2 linked regions of the Rhinolophus ferrumequinum genome follow. Each later gene encodes a partner of the first gene's protein in a complex. Links are inferred from orthologs where the notes say so. Each region holds a gene or a part of one and is shown on either strand. Other genes may lie near its edges.

Evidence for each region. The genes of interacting proteins can lie anywhere in the genome.
Region 2: POLR2L (region 1) and GTF2H4 share a complex: the UniProt entries of both Homo sapiens proteins name them as parts of the TBP-based Pol II pre-initiation complex. The link is inferred for Rhinolophus ferrumequinum from reciprocal best matches to the Homo sapiens genes POLR2L and GTF2H4.

The regions. Positions count from the first base shown.
Region 1 is NC_046294.1:511,320-518,269, forward strand, and holds POLR2L (DNA-directed RNA polymerases I, II, and III subunit RPABC5), read right to left. Parts: upstream 2,001-6,950; 5' UTR 1,854-2,000; coding exon 1,759-1,853; intron 835-1,758; coding exon 726-834; 3' UTR 507-725; downstream 1-506. UniProt on the Homo sapiens protein: DNA-dependent RNA polymerase catalyzes the transcription of DNA into RNA using the four ribonucleoside triphosphates as substrates.
Region 2 is NC_046286.1:1,466,787-1,474,730, forward strand, and holds the start of GTF2H4 (general transcription factor IIH subunit 4), read left to right. Parts: upstream 1-4,934; 5' UTR 4,935-5,140; intron 5,141-5,778; 5' UTR 5,779-5,781; coding exon 5,782-5,921; intron 5,922-6,191; coding exon 6,192-6,296; intron 6,297-6,638; coding exon 6,639-6,770; intron 6,771-6,997; coding exon 6,998-7,094; intron 7,095-7,183; coding exon 7,184-7,272; intron 7,273-7,486; coding exon 7,487-7,598; intron 7,599-7,731; coding exon 7,732-7,800; intron 7,801-7,944. UniProt on the Homo sapiens protein: Component of the general transcription and DNA repair factor IIH (TFIIH) core complex, which is involved in general and transcription-coupled nucleotide excision repair (NER) of damaged DNA and, when complexed to CAK, in RNA transcription by RNA polymerase II.

The sequences.
Region 1 (6,950 bases):
CGCAGGGTTGAATGCTGATGCCCACGGCACTGGGAGCTCAGCCAGCCCTGACAACCCGCAGAGCTACTGTAGGGTCTCCGGGCTGGGTGGGGAGCCTGAGTGCTGCCCCGCCTCCTGCAGGAACTTGGCCGAGGGGTCTACTGGGCTTGGGTGGAGCCTGGAAGCTTCTGGCAGCAGGACGCTCAGGATGGGCAGCCATGACCACAGCAGGCATTCTATTCAGGGCCCAGAAAATCTGGTTCTTTAGATCCTGGGAAGAGAGGATGTGGGGACCTCTGTGCTGTGCTGACCTAGAGTACACAGAACACATGGGTGGAGATGCCAGTGCCCTAGTGCTCTTGGTGGCCTGAGAGCACCCCCTCCAGAGGGAGACACCCCAGGCTGAGCAGTTGCCATGGGGATGGCTATCCCTTTTCCTGGGCAGTAAGTGGCCTCAGGCATGAGGCAGGACACAGGTACACAGTGGCAGGGAGTCGCACAAAGCCAGACCAACTGTCAGGACCTTCTTGTGGTTCTGCAAAGACCTTTACTGGATGGCTCCTGCCAGAGCAGGAGACCAACGCCCACACAGCTGTGAGCAGACATTGCTCCTGGCTACCCACGCTTCAGTGGGAGGGGCTCTGGGCAGGACAGACTGCTGGGTGCTCCCGGGCTTCTGCAGGGGTACATAGTTGAGCAGCTTCTCTATCAAGTCCACGTGGGCCAGCAGCATGCTGGGTGCTCACTCACTTCTCCAGGGGTACATAGTTGAGCAGCTTCTCTATGAGGTCCACGTGGGCCAGCAGCATGCGGCGACAGCAGTAGCGCTTCAGGCCCAGCGCGTCCAGAGCATCCCTGCAGGCAGAAGACAGGCTGTGATCTGTCGGTCCCCAAAAGCCCAGGCAGATGGAAGCCTCACTCAGCTGCTGTGGGATCTTTCCTCAGCCCTGCTTCCACATTGGGAAGGGAGGCATCTCTCCAGGGAGCCATTTCTGACGCAAATTAGAGTCCCCAATTCCCTGGGACCAAGATTAGTCACCCTCGAGGCCTCCAGAAAATTCCCACACCATTGGCCCCAGTGTGCAGAGATGGCAGCTTGGCAATGGGGAGGCCAGGCTGGAAGGTCCCTGCCCATGGTGCTGCACGGAGGGTCGTGGGCAGGCTACCAGCCACTCACGCACTCTGGTCACCCCAGCAGCCTTTGCAGGGTCTGGTGCCAACAGCCCATCATCACCCCCACACCTGCCCTGAGAGTCGATGGCATGTTGGCACGTCCCGGGTCCCAGGGGTTCAAGTGTGACAGGACATGGGCTGTCCACACAGTGGCCAAGGGTGAGACTCTACTGGGGAGCAGACTCAGCTAGCCGTGGTGGTAACTGCAGTGCTAAGGGACAAGCACAGAAAAGGGACCTGCCACAGCCTCAAAATGACAGCTATGTGGCCAGGAAGCTGCCCTGAGCCTAAAAGACAAGTGGGCTTGTGGGACATGCGGTGGATCTAATAGCAGGTGGGCAGGGAGCAGGGTGACGGCTTAACCGCAGTGGAGGGGCACCGCGGCCGGCCACAAGGACACCGAGAAGCCCCCTGGAGAGCAGGGCTGGAAGAGACTCTGGAACTGAAAGCCCCTCCAGGGTCACCTGTAATCGGATGCGCGTGGCACCGCCCGCCCCGCAGGCCGGGACCCCGTTACCCCCGGCCCTCCCCGCCCGTCTCGCAGGGCGGCCCAGGGACGCTTCCCACCGCGCTGGCGGCCCTCCCCCGCCGGGCCCGGCGCCTCACCCCTCGGTGTACTCGGCCTGCAGCAGCCCCAGGTAGGCCTCCCACTTGTTGCCGACGATCTTGCCGCAGGTGAAGCAGCGCACGGGGATGATCATGGCGGCAGTGGGACAACGACCGCGCTCTTCGGTTCCGGCGGCGCTTCTGCCCGAGAGCCGACCCCGCCCCGGGCGCGTCCATGGTGCGGGGGAGACGGGACCCGTCTCCAGCCGCCCCCAGTCCACCTCCCCAGCCCCCGCGCCGTCGGCATCCGCTTCCTGTCGCGACGATCTTCCTCGCGCGTATCGGGGGTCTCGGAACCCTCGTGGCTGCGGCAGGAGCAGGCGGCGTCCCCTCTGCGCCCCTTTGGTACATCCCGGCCTATGGTGGCCGAGCGAGGCCGTAAGGGCTCGGCGGCGCAGTTCGCGTTTCTCGTGTCCGCATGACTGACAGCTACGCGGCGGGTGGATTGCGCGCGCAGGTACAGCGTCCGCTGGTCGGGGTCCCGCCGCCCGCCGCGCCAGAGCCGGGATCAGACACCCGCCCCGGCACGAGCGAGCGGGAGCGGAGTTCCAGCCCGGAGCGCGGAGCCCCGAGTCGAGCCGCAGCAACAAGTGGCGGGGCCCGGGCGCGGCGACCCCGCAGCGGGGGCAGAGAGAGGCTGGCCGGCGGCCACGGGCGGGTCTTCCCGCTGCCTCTCCTGGACGGGCCGGGAAAGGGGTCTGTCGCCCGGAATCCTTGCCCGCGGATGCCCGGGAATCTCTGCGGCTGAGTTCGGGAGTGCCCTCGGGGCGTCTCCAGGCCCGCTCGCCCGTGCTATATCGGTCCCGGCCAGGTAACAGTTACCTGTAGTTCCGACGGTGGGAGGGCACGCTAGGAGCGATCGGCCGGGTGGTGAGCTCAGACAGCGCCGCATCGATCTGCTTTGGTCCGCGTCCCTCCTCCTTTCTTCCCGGGGAAGGGGATGGGGGGCGGGAAGGGTCTGCAGCCGCCCCAGTCCAAGCTCTGCTGGGTCCCCGCGATCTGAGGACCGGAGTGTGGTCAGGGAGAGCGTCGTGGAAGAGGCGCCTGTTGAGCTGAACCTTGAAAAGTACAGGATTTCACCAGGCGTGAGCCTGAGTGCGTGTGAAGGAGCAGGGCAGACCCTGGCAAAAGGAACCCTTGGGCAGAGGTCTGGAGTCGGTACCTGCAGGGTAGTCCCAGACAGGTGTGCGCTAGGGCCAGAGTAGGTGGTGGGGCAGGAGCCACGGAGGATTGAGGGGAAGGGAGGCTGTGTGTCGGGAAATGGGGTGGGCTGAGCCCCAAGATGGGGGCTGGGCAGGGCGGGCAGTGTGCAGTGAGAAGCCCGAGGGCTCCCTGTGTGTGGGTGGTGAGCTTTGGGCTCTAGGGGGTGGATGTGTTGCAAAGTGGCACCTGTGACTTAATGTGTGTGCAGCCTCTGGGGCAGGTTCGCTGGATCTCTGGTTGGGTCCCAGGAGTCAGCTAACTGCCCCCTCAGGCCTTAGTTGGGGGGCAGGGAGATGGAGGGTCCTGGGTCCTGGGTGGAGCTGCCGGCACTGGTGCCCGCCTGGAGTTTGTGCCTCCACTTTCTCCGGGGCCCTGGACAGCCTCCCCAGTGCTCTTTGCCATCCCCCACCCTGCCACGTGCAGAGCCACGAGCCAAAGCCACTTCCCTTCCCTGACACCCCCCCACATACACACTGACTGGACGCACATCCTGTCCCTGGCCTGGAGGGGCAGGATAGGGGCCTTGAGTCACAGTGGCCTGGGGTCAGACCCAGGCTCAGCTGCAGAGGCTGCCCGAGGCTGTGGAGGTGAGGGAGACCGGGAGGGCATCGGGATGTCAGCTGGGTGGACCTTCAGGAGCTGGAGTGGGTGGGGGCAGAAGGCTTCCTGGAGGAGGGGCCCAGGGCCTGTCCCACTGGAGCTCCTGCCCTGAGCAGTTGTTTACGCAGAGAGAGTAAGGGGAGCAGCGAGCCTCCCTCCCTGATCCGGTCCAGAGCCAAGTTGACATTCCTGGAATTCTGAGAGCTGTGTGTAGATTTGGGGGCCGCTGGCTCCTCTTCCCAAGCTCCTCCCTCCAGCTCCCTGATTTCCCAGGAGAGGCCATGGGGAGCAGAGTGGCTGCCCCGGCCCAGCCTGTGTGCGCTGCCCCAGCACACGTGTGCGTGGGTGGAGGCCCCTTGGGGCACTTAGTTCTGCCTGCTCAACTCTGCCTGGCTCAGCCCTGCCCAGGCTGGACCAGAGGACCCCAGGGGAACCTCAGAGGTCAGCTCTACCCCCCAACCATGGCCCGGACAGGCTGTGTCCCTGCATGTGTGTCTGTGTGTGTTGGGGTTGCACGTTGAGGTGAGGGCCGGGGGGGCCAGGGGCAGGAGGGAGCTGTGGGGGCCCAGGGCACTGGTGGAGGAGGGGCTCTGCGTGCCTGCTGGGGTAGGTGGGGGCCCTGGCTTCTCCCCTCGGTGTGGAGTGTCAGCACAGATGTGGCCCAGGCCTCTGGGGAGGGCCGGAGAGTGAGGCACAGGTTTTCCGAGAATGAGTGTCCTGCCTCCAGTGATGGGAAGCACGAGGAGGGAGGGCTGTGCTCACATGTGGTTTGGAACCCGTGAGCCACATTTCCTGCCAGAAAGGGTCACTTGAGGGCAGGCCAGGGACAAGGGGAAATCAGCGACTGAAGTTTTAGCTGCTGAGCTTCCGGCTCTGAAGGTTGTCCTGGAAACAGGCCGGCCACAGGCCCCAACCCCTGGTCCTGGATCACAGCCTCAGTTTCCCCATCTGTAAAGCGTGGATGGAACGAGAAGCTGCCAAGCTGGAGGGTCCGGATCTATCTGTGCAGGTGTGGGGTTCCGGACTCAGGCCCTGGCCGCTTGCTTTGGGTACATGTGTGCTTACATGGGGTGTACAGGGTGGCATGGGATCCTTGAACATACATGCTCGGATGCCTCCCCAGGGTCAGACGGGTCACCTACCTGCTGCACCCATGCTAACCCTCTCGGCCCTTGGGGCTGGGGAGTCCTTAGTGGTGATGTTTGCAGGCGTGCTGAGCCCGAACTGACTCTAACCTAATGAGCCTCTGAACACACCTGGGGCTGATGTGGGCTTCCTGAGGGAGGGCACTGCTCTGCGGTGTCCGTCTGGTGGCATAGGGCGGGGTGGGGGTGTCTGTCGAGGTGGGGCAGGCACACACTGGCCATGTGAGGTAGCGTGCTCCCAGGGCCTGTGGTGGCTGGGAAGGTATCCCCCAGCCCCCAATCCTAATTGTGTCCCCTTGGCCTTTACCTCTACATGGCCTTCAGCAGAGAAATACCTGAGGTGGGGGGAGGAGCCGGGACGGGGGGGGGGGGGGGGTGGGCAGGGGAGGGAGGGCCTGAGCTTGGGTTGGCCTAGGTGGGCCCAGGAGGAGAGAGGGGGCCCTTGGTGGCTTCTTCCACGGGGATCCCTCCCGTGGAGCGGGTGTCTCCCAGCCGGACGCTCCCGGTTGGGCTGGGGAGATGACCCTGCCTGGGCTCTGAGTGTGAAGGGATGCCAGCCTGCCCAGCCTGGGTGTCTGTGTTCTCCTCCCCCAGACCTGGGTGGGCACTGGGGCCCGGCGGGGCTGAAGCAGTGGCAGGAAGGCCCACACCACAGGCCTGTTTGTGTTGGCCAGGCCCTCCTGGGCTCCTCAAAGCTGCCTCAGAGCCAGCTCCGCCAGGGGGCCGGGGTGGGCGGCTCCGATCTGCGATCTATGCTCCACCCTGAGCTGCCCCTGCTGGGGTGTGTGCTCAGGCCAGACCCCTGCTGCTGCTCCATTGCTGGGGTCAGGGTGGGCCACTGGCAACCGCCCATTTGTCCACCCCAGCCTCTAAGTCCAACGCCACACGCTCTGTTTCAGCATTTGGGCAGGTCCTTTTTGGAGAGGGCCTTGGTGTGGTCAGGTAGGTGCCCATGGCCTGTGGCTCACACAACCCCAAAGACCCAGCCCCGGGCTGGCAGGCTGTGGTATTTGTCTTGGGGCTGTCACTCAGCCCTGTCGCTGTTGCCTGCTGTGTGAGCTGTACTGGGGACACAGACCTGTCAGTCTCTGCCCTCAAAGGAGGGCCAAAGTGCGGCATGGAGGCTTCATGGGGAGGAGCCAGCCTGGTCTTGTCCTGCCCAGGAGGGTTGTAGGTGCTGGTGGAGCCAGCCGTAAGGGCCTGCCGGGGAGGGATGCCGGGATCTGGGGCTGAGGGGATATGCAGACCCAGCCTCAGGCCTGCGTGGGTGGGTGTGTGCTGCATGGTTTTTAGCTTCCGGAATGTTGCTGTGGGCTTTGGGCCCCTTAGCCCTGGGGAGGGGGGTTCATCAAAGAAAGTGGGACGGGTGTGTCCCCCATTTCCTTTGATAGTTCATGGGGCCTAAAACCCTTCAACAGACACTTCATCCCCAGGCACAGCAGTTGTGGAGGGGTGGGGATGGGGTCCCAGGGCCTGGACCCAGGCACATGCCCTCCCCACTGGGGTGGGTGCCGTTCATACCGCCTAACTGAAGTTGGGGGTGGGTGTCAGGTTGCTTGCAGGGACGAGCTGGGACTGACCCATACGGTGGACTCCCGTCCACCCCAGGCATGAGTGGACAGGTGGGCAGTGTGCAGCCCGTGAGGGGTTGGGCAGGAGGGGGTAGGCACCTGCCAGGGTGGCATTTGGAGCCTTTGCAGTCCCTCCTGCCCCTGGGCTACTGGGAAGACCACCTGCCCCAGCTGCCAGGCTGCAAGGAGTCCCTGGTGTGAGGGGCGAAGTATAGAGAGCATGGCTGGGGTGCCCTGTCCCCATAGTCTGTGGCTGGTGGGGGAGGCCCTGTGAGCACGGGTGGCAGATGTGGCTGCATGAGTCGTCACCACTGGCTCTGGGGGAGAGCGTGAGGCTGGGAGCAGGGGACCTGGGCAGTTGGGGTGACACATCACTGTGCTCTGAGTCCGTCAGTCCACACATCTGAACGTGTGTGTCCTGCACGCACATTGTCTGCGTGTGCGAGCCTGCCTCCCTGCCTGGTGTCTCAGCAGGCGAGTGACGGGAGGTCGGGATGAAGTCCCCCTGTTGGGCCCCTCGGCTGCTCCTCCTCCCCCCGTAGGGACCTGGTCTCAGGTGGAGGGCTGCTTGTCACCCCCTGGGGCCTGCCTGGTTGCTGGGAGCCCCGATGGGATGGGTAGGGACGAGGTGCAGCCTCCATCCTGCCTTTTCCTCCACAGAACTCCCACCTGC
Region 2 (7,944 bases), on another chromosome or scaffold:
CTCAGGGAGGGTTTCGGGGAAGCCAGTGGCACAAAGAAGAGGAGCTAATGGCACCTCCACTCTCCCCCTAACTGCCCTTCACCTCTGAGAGAGGCGCAGTGTGACCGAAGGTGGGCTGGGCCTGCCAGGAAGCTGATGACCTCCCTTCCTCCTGCCCCCCCTTCCTGCTCCTCTTCTAGAAGCTTCTGCCACCCACCCAGCTGGCCCTGTGGATGGGACCGTCTCGGACCTCTTCTAGCCATCCCTTGGGGAGGGTGGGGGCAAATACAGGGCAGACACTGGACATGGCCCCCTGGAGCACCTGGGCCCCCTTGGACAACACTGGTTCCTGGAGGGAAGGCTGTGCCCCGCAGCCTCTCTCTTTCTGGCACACACTGGACCCCACTGGCTGAGATTTTGTGGAGTGAGGAGGACAAAAACGGGAGAAAGATGTTCCCTTGTGCCTACTCCTGGAATTGTCCTCAGCTTTGGCTTTTCCCCCTCCATCCTCTGAAACACTGGACCTGGGCTTGATTCCTGCCCCCAAACCCCACCTCCCATCTGCCATGTTGTAGCTAGAACTTCTCTAAGCCTGTATGTTTCTGTGGAATAAATACTGGGATTAGGGGGAAAGAGGGAGCAAAGGCCTAGGGCCCGGGGGTTGGATATCTCTATCATAGCTGCCACATTGGTTTTTCTATAATCACTTGGGTTTGTACATTTTTGGGGGGAGAGAGACAGATTTTTACACTAATATATGGATCTAGCTCAATGCAATTTTAATCCCCTGCACTAGGCAGGTAATAATAAAGGTTGAGTTTTCCACAGCTGTGAGTAGGTTTCTTGGGGTTTTGGTAAAATCTGCCTCCTGCCCCTCCCTTCCCCCATCCCATTTTCTTCTCTTTTTCCTCCTCCCCGTTCCATTTCCTACCACGTATTTTGCCCAACATAGTGTTCTGTGTCTCCATAAGCCAGGTCCTTGCTTGTGGGACCTGAGGTCCCACATGAATGTATGAACCTTGTCAACTCCAACACAAGCTCTGCAGGAGGCTGGGAGGGAGGTGGAGTAAGCCTCCAGTCTTAACCTCGTTTGACCCACTGACCCCTGTGGCAGCCTGGCGAGATCTGATTCCACCTCAGAATTATGTTTTAAAACCCATTAAAAGGAGGGTGTGTATGTATAGATACATGATTATAGAGGAAGTCAACTGAAAGAGTTTACAAAAATGTTAAAAAATTATATATTAACGTGGTTCTTTTAAATATATTTAATAACAAGATCTAGCAACAACTACTGACATTTCCAAATAGTATAACGATAAATGACATTCTGAGATTTCTACAACTACAGTGAGATATGAAAATAGCTGCGATGTCTATTAATGTAAGTCACACGCTAACACTACTGAGGGTTTTGCTCATATTCATACTTGGAGGGAATGCTAAATTTCAGTTAGAAATTTAGAGGTTCATAAAAATAGATGTGTCGTTTTTTTCCTAGCCCACATTCTAGGACACACGCCCCCCCCCCCCCCCACACACACACGAGTCTGGAAGTCCCCAGTGGAGAATCCCTGGATTACGCTGATCAAGTGTGTAAATCACCCAATGGGTGTGAGCTGTCTCGCTGGGAGCCAGAAGCAAGAGCCTAAATGATCTCAGGCTTGGAAGGATGAGCTACAACCACCAAAAAAACATTTAACAAAGTTAGAAAGAAAAAGAAAAATCAGTTGCAAATATTAGGAAAGACATGATGGTAGTCCATGTGAAACAAAGGTCATGGTTGATAGTCACAAAATGAGCCAACTGGATAATGAGGATAAAAATAAAGACAATTTAATCTTATGTTGAATTATAGGCCGTTGGGGTCCAGGACACAGATCTGAGTTCTGCTGAAACCTACGCTGGCCAGGTCACTGTGACCCATGATTTAAGACGGGCACTGACAGGTCAAGAGTTTCGAAGCCAGAATGCATAATGGTGAGCAATGGAAGCCGTGCAGTGAGCGGAGAACTCCCGAATCTCTAGCTCAGAACTCTCTATGAAGCTCTAAAGCTGTGCAACCACCTAGAGGTCCACCGAGAAGTGCAGATCTGTCAGTCTCAGCGTGTCCAAGCTGGCCCCTCCCATGTCATCTCCTGCCTCACTGAATGGCAGCACTATCCACTCAGTTGCACAAGCCAGAAACCTGGGGATCATCCTCGACACCCTTTTCCCTACTCTCCCCTCACAAATCCAGTCTATCACGTAGCTCTGTCGATTTCGCTTCCCCACTTTCCCTTCAATCCCTCATTTCTTCCCATCTCCATCTTGCCTGGTCTCTCCTAGCATCTGTTTCCGCTCCTCTCCAGTTTGCTCCAGTTTGGTCCTTGCAGCCAGTGACCTTGAAAACACAGAAATCCGACCTCATTCCGTTATTTCAAACCCTTGAATGGCTACCCATTGACATCAGAATAAGAACAAAATCTTCTTGGCCAACTTTAGCGCCCCCACCCCATCTTCAGGGTGGGTCCTTCCCACCCTCTCTTTGCACCACTGGCCTTTCAGTCCTGCCTGCCACAAGGACTTCATAGCATGCTGTCCCCATCTGGAACACAATTCCCTGCTGTCTTTGCTTTGATAACTCCTGCTTGTCCTTCAGCAGCCTTCCCTAACTTGCCAACCAGGTCAGATCTCCTCTTGAGGCTTTCAGAGAACGGGACTCGCTTCTTTATAGCACTTACTACGGGGGTGCCATTTTACATTTTTTTTTGTTAAGAAAATGTTTATTGAGCATCTACTATGTGCCAGGTGCCATGCTTATTACATATCATATCTTATTTAATATCACAACATAGGAAGTAGCTAAAACTATTGCCATTTCACAGAGAAGAAAACTGTTAGGTTAAGCCACTTGCCCAAGGCAGCACAATGGTAAAGGGTGAAGCTGGTGGGAAGCAGCCCACGACTCCTGGATCTCTGTTCTCTCTCCAGGATGCTGCCTGAGGGGAGGAGGTCATGAACTCTACATCACAGGAAGTTTTCTCAGCACAAGCTGGATAGCCTTATTATGTCAGGGGGCTCTTTCTGCATTTCAGCTCCCAGGAGACCACGCTGATTTTCTTCTTGAAGGCCAGTTCCAGGAACTCAGTCTGCTTGGTTCCTGCCATCAGACACCTGCCCTCATCCACTGCATCCCTCCAAGCAGGGGTCAGAGCTCCTTGATGAGGGAAAGGTCTATATCTGCACCATCCAATCAGTAGCGACTACTGAGTACTTGAAATGGGGCTAATGTTGACTGAGGAACTGAATTTAAATTTTGTTTGAGTTAATTTAAATGTAAATAGCTACAGGTGGCTAGGCTCCTATTCTGGACAGTGTAGCCCGAGTTTTCCCCACATTGTAGAGAACTGTGACCTGATCTACCCAGCTTCCTTTGCTTGCTCCCATCAAAATGACCTCTCTGAGTTTTACACACACATGAAAGCTTCTTACAAATATGGCATTGGATTGTGTACGCCATTTTGTAATCTGCGTTTCTTCCCCTCATGACAGGTCGTATGCAGTTGTCAGTATGCATAGTGACCTCCTCTCTAAGTGTTCTCCAGTATTCTACATGTAACGATCCACATTTCATCTAACCAACTCCTAATAATGGACACTTAGGCTGTTTCCATTGTTTTCATAATGCAACAACAGATACACTCCAATAAACATCTTTGCACCCAGGTGGGAGAATTTCAGTATGATGCATTCCTAAAAGTATAGCCACATTAAAATCCTTGGTATATACAGCCAAATTGCCCTTAAGAAAGCATGCTTCCATTAACCTTCAACAAAAGTATATGAGTATCCTCATAGTCTCATATACATCGAGGTAGTCAATCCTTAATCGTTTTTTAATTGGATATGTTATTGTTTCTTTAATTTGCTTTTCCTAAATTACTAGTGAAGTTGAGAGTTTTCATTTGAAGTCATTTGTATTTCTTCTGTTTATCGCCTATTTTCTATTTTGTCAATCTTTCCATTGTGATGTTACTTTTTCTTATTGCTTTGTAAGAGTTCTTTGTATTTTGTCCATTTTATCAAATACTTCTTTCCAGAATCTAATTTTAACTGTACTTAACACAAAGAAGCTTTCTCAGTTTTGTGGCATTCTTTGAGGATTTTAAACATTGATTGCTAAAGAAACGGAACAATGAAACAAACATGGGTGGGCTACAACGCACGGCAAAGTCTTACACAGACAGTCCTTATTACCATTTTAGTCCCTCGTCCCTGGCAAATGTACTTAATATTCCTGCCTCGGTACTTTCTAGTCCAATCGCGGGCAAATTTTCTCTCACTAGACTTTGGTCTTCCGGTCTGTAAAATGCGAATAATAAAACTTGCCTCATGAGAACTTAGGAAGCCTGTAGCTCCGGCCTTGGCTAAAGACGTTCCCTTCCCTTTCGCTGCAATAGGTTCATAAATCAAATCAAAGCGTACAATTTTTAAAATTGTATTTACTAGTATCTTTTAACTAAACGGGAGGCGGGAGCATGGTGGACGTGGCAACTAGATCCAGTTAACTCCTAACTCGCGAAAACGCTCTGTAGAGCGCTTTAAGCCAATTTCACCTGGATCAGCTGAGCTCAAGGAACCCAGTTTCGTGCGTGTCTAAAACTAAGCGCCTTACCATCCAGCCGTCTCCACACCTCCGCCAGTAGGTCCTCGGGGTACTTCTTCTCCCAGGGTCCCGCCTCCCGTACCGGTCGGTTAGACATGCCGTTGGAGGCGTGCGTGGAGAGAGACGCGGAACCAAGTGACCCGGCCTCCGGTGTCCTGAGCTCTCTCAATGAAAGGCCAGGCTCTTTCCTCGCTGTTTCCCCGCGGTGCCTTTCGGGAGCTGTAGTCAGACGCGCTTCAGCCGGCTCTGGGGTGAGGAAGGACAAAACTCCAATTCCCAGTGTGCTCCGCGCCGGGCGAGTGCAGCGCCCATTCTTATCCTACCCACTTTTTCTTTCCTCTTCTGAATCCCCTGCTCCGAACTCCTGTCTGTGAAATCCTTCGTCGCTCTCCCCATCTTTTTCTCTCATTTTCACCATACTTTTCCCTATTTCCCAGAGCCAGTGCAAGGCCCTGGTTCCGATTAAGCGACTGCTTGAGACTCGGGTGCACGAGGGGGAACTGACCCAGAGTGGTAAGGGGGCCGGGAGAGAGCGGGTGGCGGAGTGTACGAGTTGAGTAAGAGGCGAGGAATGGGAGGAAAGTAGCGAAGTTAGGAGGTCGAACGGTATGGATCAGGTTGAATGGGGTGAAGTGGTCTTTGGAGGGAGGAGGGAAAAGGAGAGGAAAGAGGTGGAATTAGATTCGGGAGACATGGAGGGGAAAGGTAGTTTATTGCCGTACCCAGCAGAAGTGGGATCAAGAAATAGATGGGAAGGTCTGACAGATGTAGAGCTTATAAGTAGATCCGACCAGGAGAGGTGGTAGGGAGAGAGGATTGGGCTCAAACAAGTCTCTTTGTCACTGCTTAGTAAAGATGAGCAATCACTGGCACACAAAATGATTTTGCAAATATGGGACAATGAAAAATTCTGTTACTTGGAAATCAAGTGAAGACTGGAGCTGAGGCCAGAAGTGGGGTGAGAAGGCAGGGAAAGAGGGGAAGTCAGTCAGGTTTGGGAGAAACTAGAGGAGATGAATGACATTCAAAAGGGAACCATAGAAAAGATGGGTTATTGTGGGGGCCAGTGGATCTGGGATCGGAATGAGAAAGGTGAGGGGTGACACTGGCATGGATTGAGGGATTGCGTTTCTAACGCTTGCATCTTTCAGGTGATGGAGAGCATCCCGTCAAGGGGTGGGCTGAACCGAGTACACCTACAATGCAGGAATCTGCAGGAATTTCTAGGGGGTCTGAGCCCTGGGGTATTGGACCGATTATATGGGCACCCTGCCACCTGTCTGGCTGTCTTCAGGTGAGGGTGCCCTTCACAGCAGGGACCATGGTGGGGAAATGTAATGGGGCCTGCAGACTGGGATAAGTTATCATGGATAGAAGCTTCGTTCTACAGGGCGTAAAGATTAAAGTGTGTCAGGCCAAAACAGATGGTGTTTGTTGGGGCAGCAAGACTGGTAAAGGGGTGGAGGGTGAGATGAGATGTTTGAGAGGCTAAGACACAGGTTGAGGGCAGAGATGCAGATCTAAGGCAGTTGCTGACAGTAACATTTTTCCTCTCCCCCTGCAGGGAGCTCCCACCTCTGGCTAAGAACTGGGTGATGCGCATGCTCTTTCTGGAGCAGCCTCTGCCACAAGCTGCTGTAGCCCTGTGGGTAAAGAAGGAATTCAGCAAGTGAGTGCTGTATTCCCAGCCAGATACCAATTTCTCAATGGCTAGATTTCCCCAACTGCTGTTCCTTGGAACATTTTTCAGGAAAGATTAATGGGTACACCATAAGACTTGTAATTAAATAAGTTTGGGAAACTGTATACTGTATTTTCCCTCTTGGAGAGTTGTGAGGTCTATAACAAGGCTCTGGCAGGCGTTACAGTAAAGAAATTTGCCTTAAGACATTGATTTCACTCTGTGAAACAGTAATCCAAGGACTACTAGTTCAAAAGCAGAAATGGAGGCCTTCATGGGCCTTCTTTTTGTTCTCCAGACACACCTGTCACCTCTCTGCTTCTGTTTCAGAGCTCAGGAGGAAAGTACAGGGCTGCTGAGTGGCCTCCGTATCTGGCACACCCAGCTGCTCCCTGGTGGTCTCCAGGGCCTCATCCTCAACCCCATCTTCCGCCAGAACCTGCGCATTGCCCTTCTGGGTGGGTATGTCACTCCATCTCCTCCTAAGCTAGGCCGGGGAACTCCTTAGGGGCCTCTCTGGAACCTTGTGGGCTCCACCTTTGGCAGCTCCTTAGCAATAAGTTGGACCAGATGCATGGTGTAGGGAATGCCTCCCACTCATGGCCCATGGGGACAAAGGTAGAAAGAGGGCAGAGGAGTGGGCAGGGGACACAGGCAGGGCTCCTTACTCTTGGCCCATCCTGGCATAGGGGCAAGGCCTGGTCTGATGACACGAGTCAGCTGGGACCAGACAAGCATGCCCGGGATGTCCCGTCACTTGACAAGTACGCCGAGGAGCGATGGGAGGTGAGAACTTGCGACTCTGTGTGTGTCTCTGCTTATGCTCCTGCTTCCCATGGACCCCAGAGGCATCTCTATTCTCCTCCATTCCTCAGGTGGTCCTGCACTTCATGGTGGGCTCCCCCAGTGCAGCTGTCAGCCAGGACTTGGCTCAGCTCCTCAGCCAGGCTGGGCTCATGAAGAGGTGAGGAAGCCCGAGGCACAACAGCTCCCGGCTTTGCCATCTCCTTGGGTCGCTGCCAAACTGAGTGTCCAGGCGGGTCAGGATTGGAGGGCGTTGAAGAAGGACAGCTGAGTGGAGTACAGCGAGAGATAAACCAAGAGCAGACGTGAGCGGTCGGTGGGGCTGGTGGCCATTCTGTGCACACCTGTCCCATTGTCCCTCTCCACGTGTCTAGTACCGAGCCCGGAGAGCCTCCCTGCATTACCTCTGCTGGCTTCCAGTTCCTGCTGCTGGACACCCCTGCCCAGCTCTGGTACTTTATGTTGCAGTATCTACAGACAGCCCAGGTGAGGAGTGCAGCGTCTGCTTGTGGGTGTGCTCTGCTCTTCTCAGGACACACCGAGAGATTACTGCCTACAGACTGCTCCCTGATTTTCTCCCTCCCATCCCGTCCCCTTGTCTGTGCCCATTCCTCCCTAGAGTCGGGGCATGGACCTAGTGGAGATCCTCTCCTTCCTCTTCCAGCTCAGCTTCTCTACTCTAGGCAAGGTAAGCAGGGGCTGGAGCTGGGGGGTCGGGTGGGTGGGCCGAAGGGGAGCGAGATGGGGAGGGCAATGGGGCTATGGGGCAATAGAGTGAAGTAAGAAGGAACAGCCAGAGGTGGGAAGACGGAACGAGCTTGTGGTTTGGGAG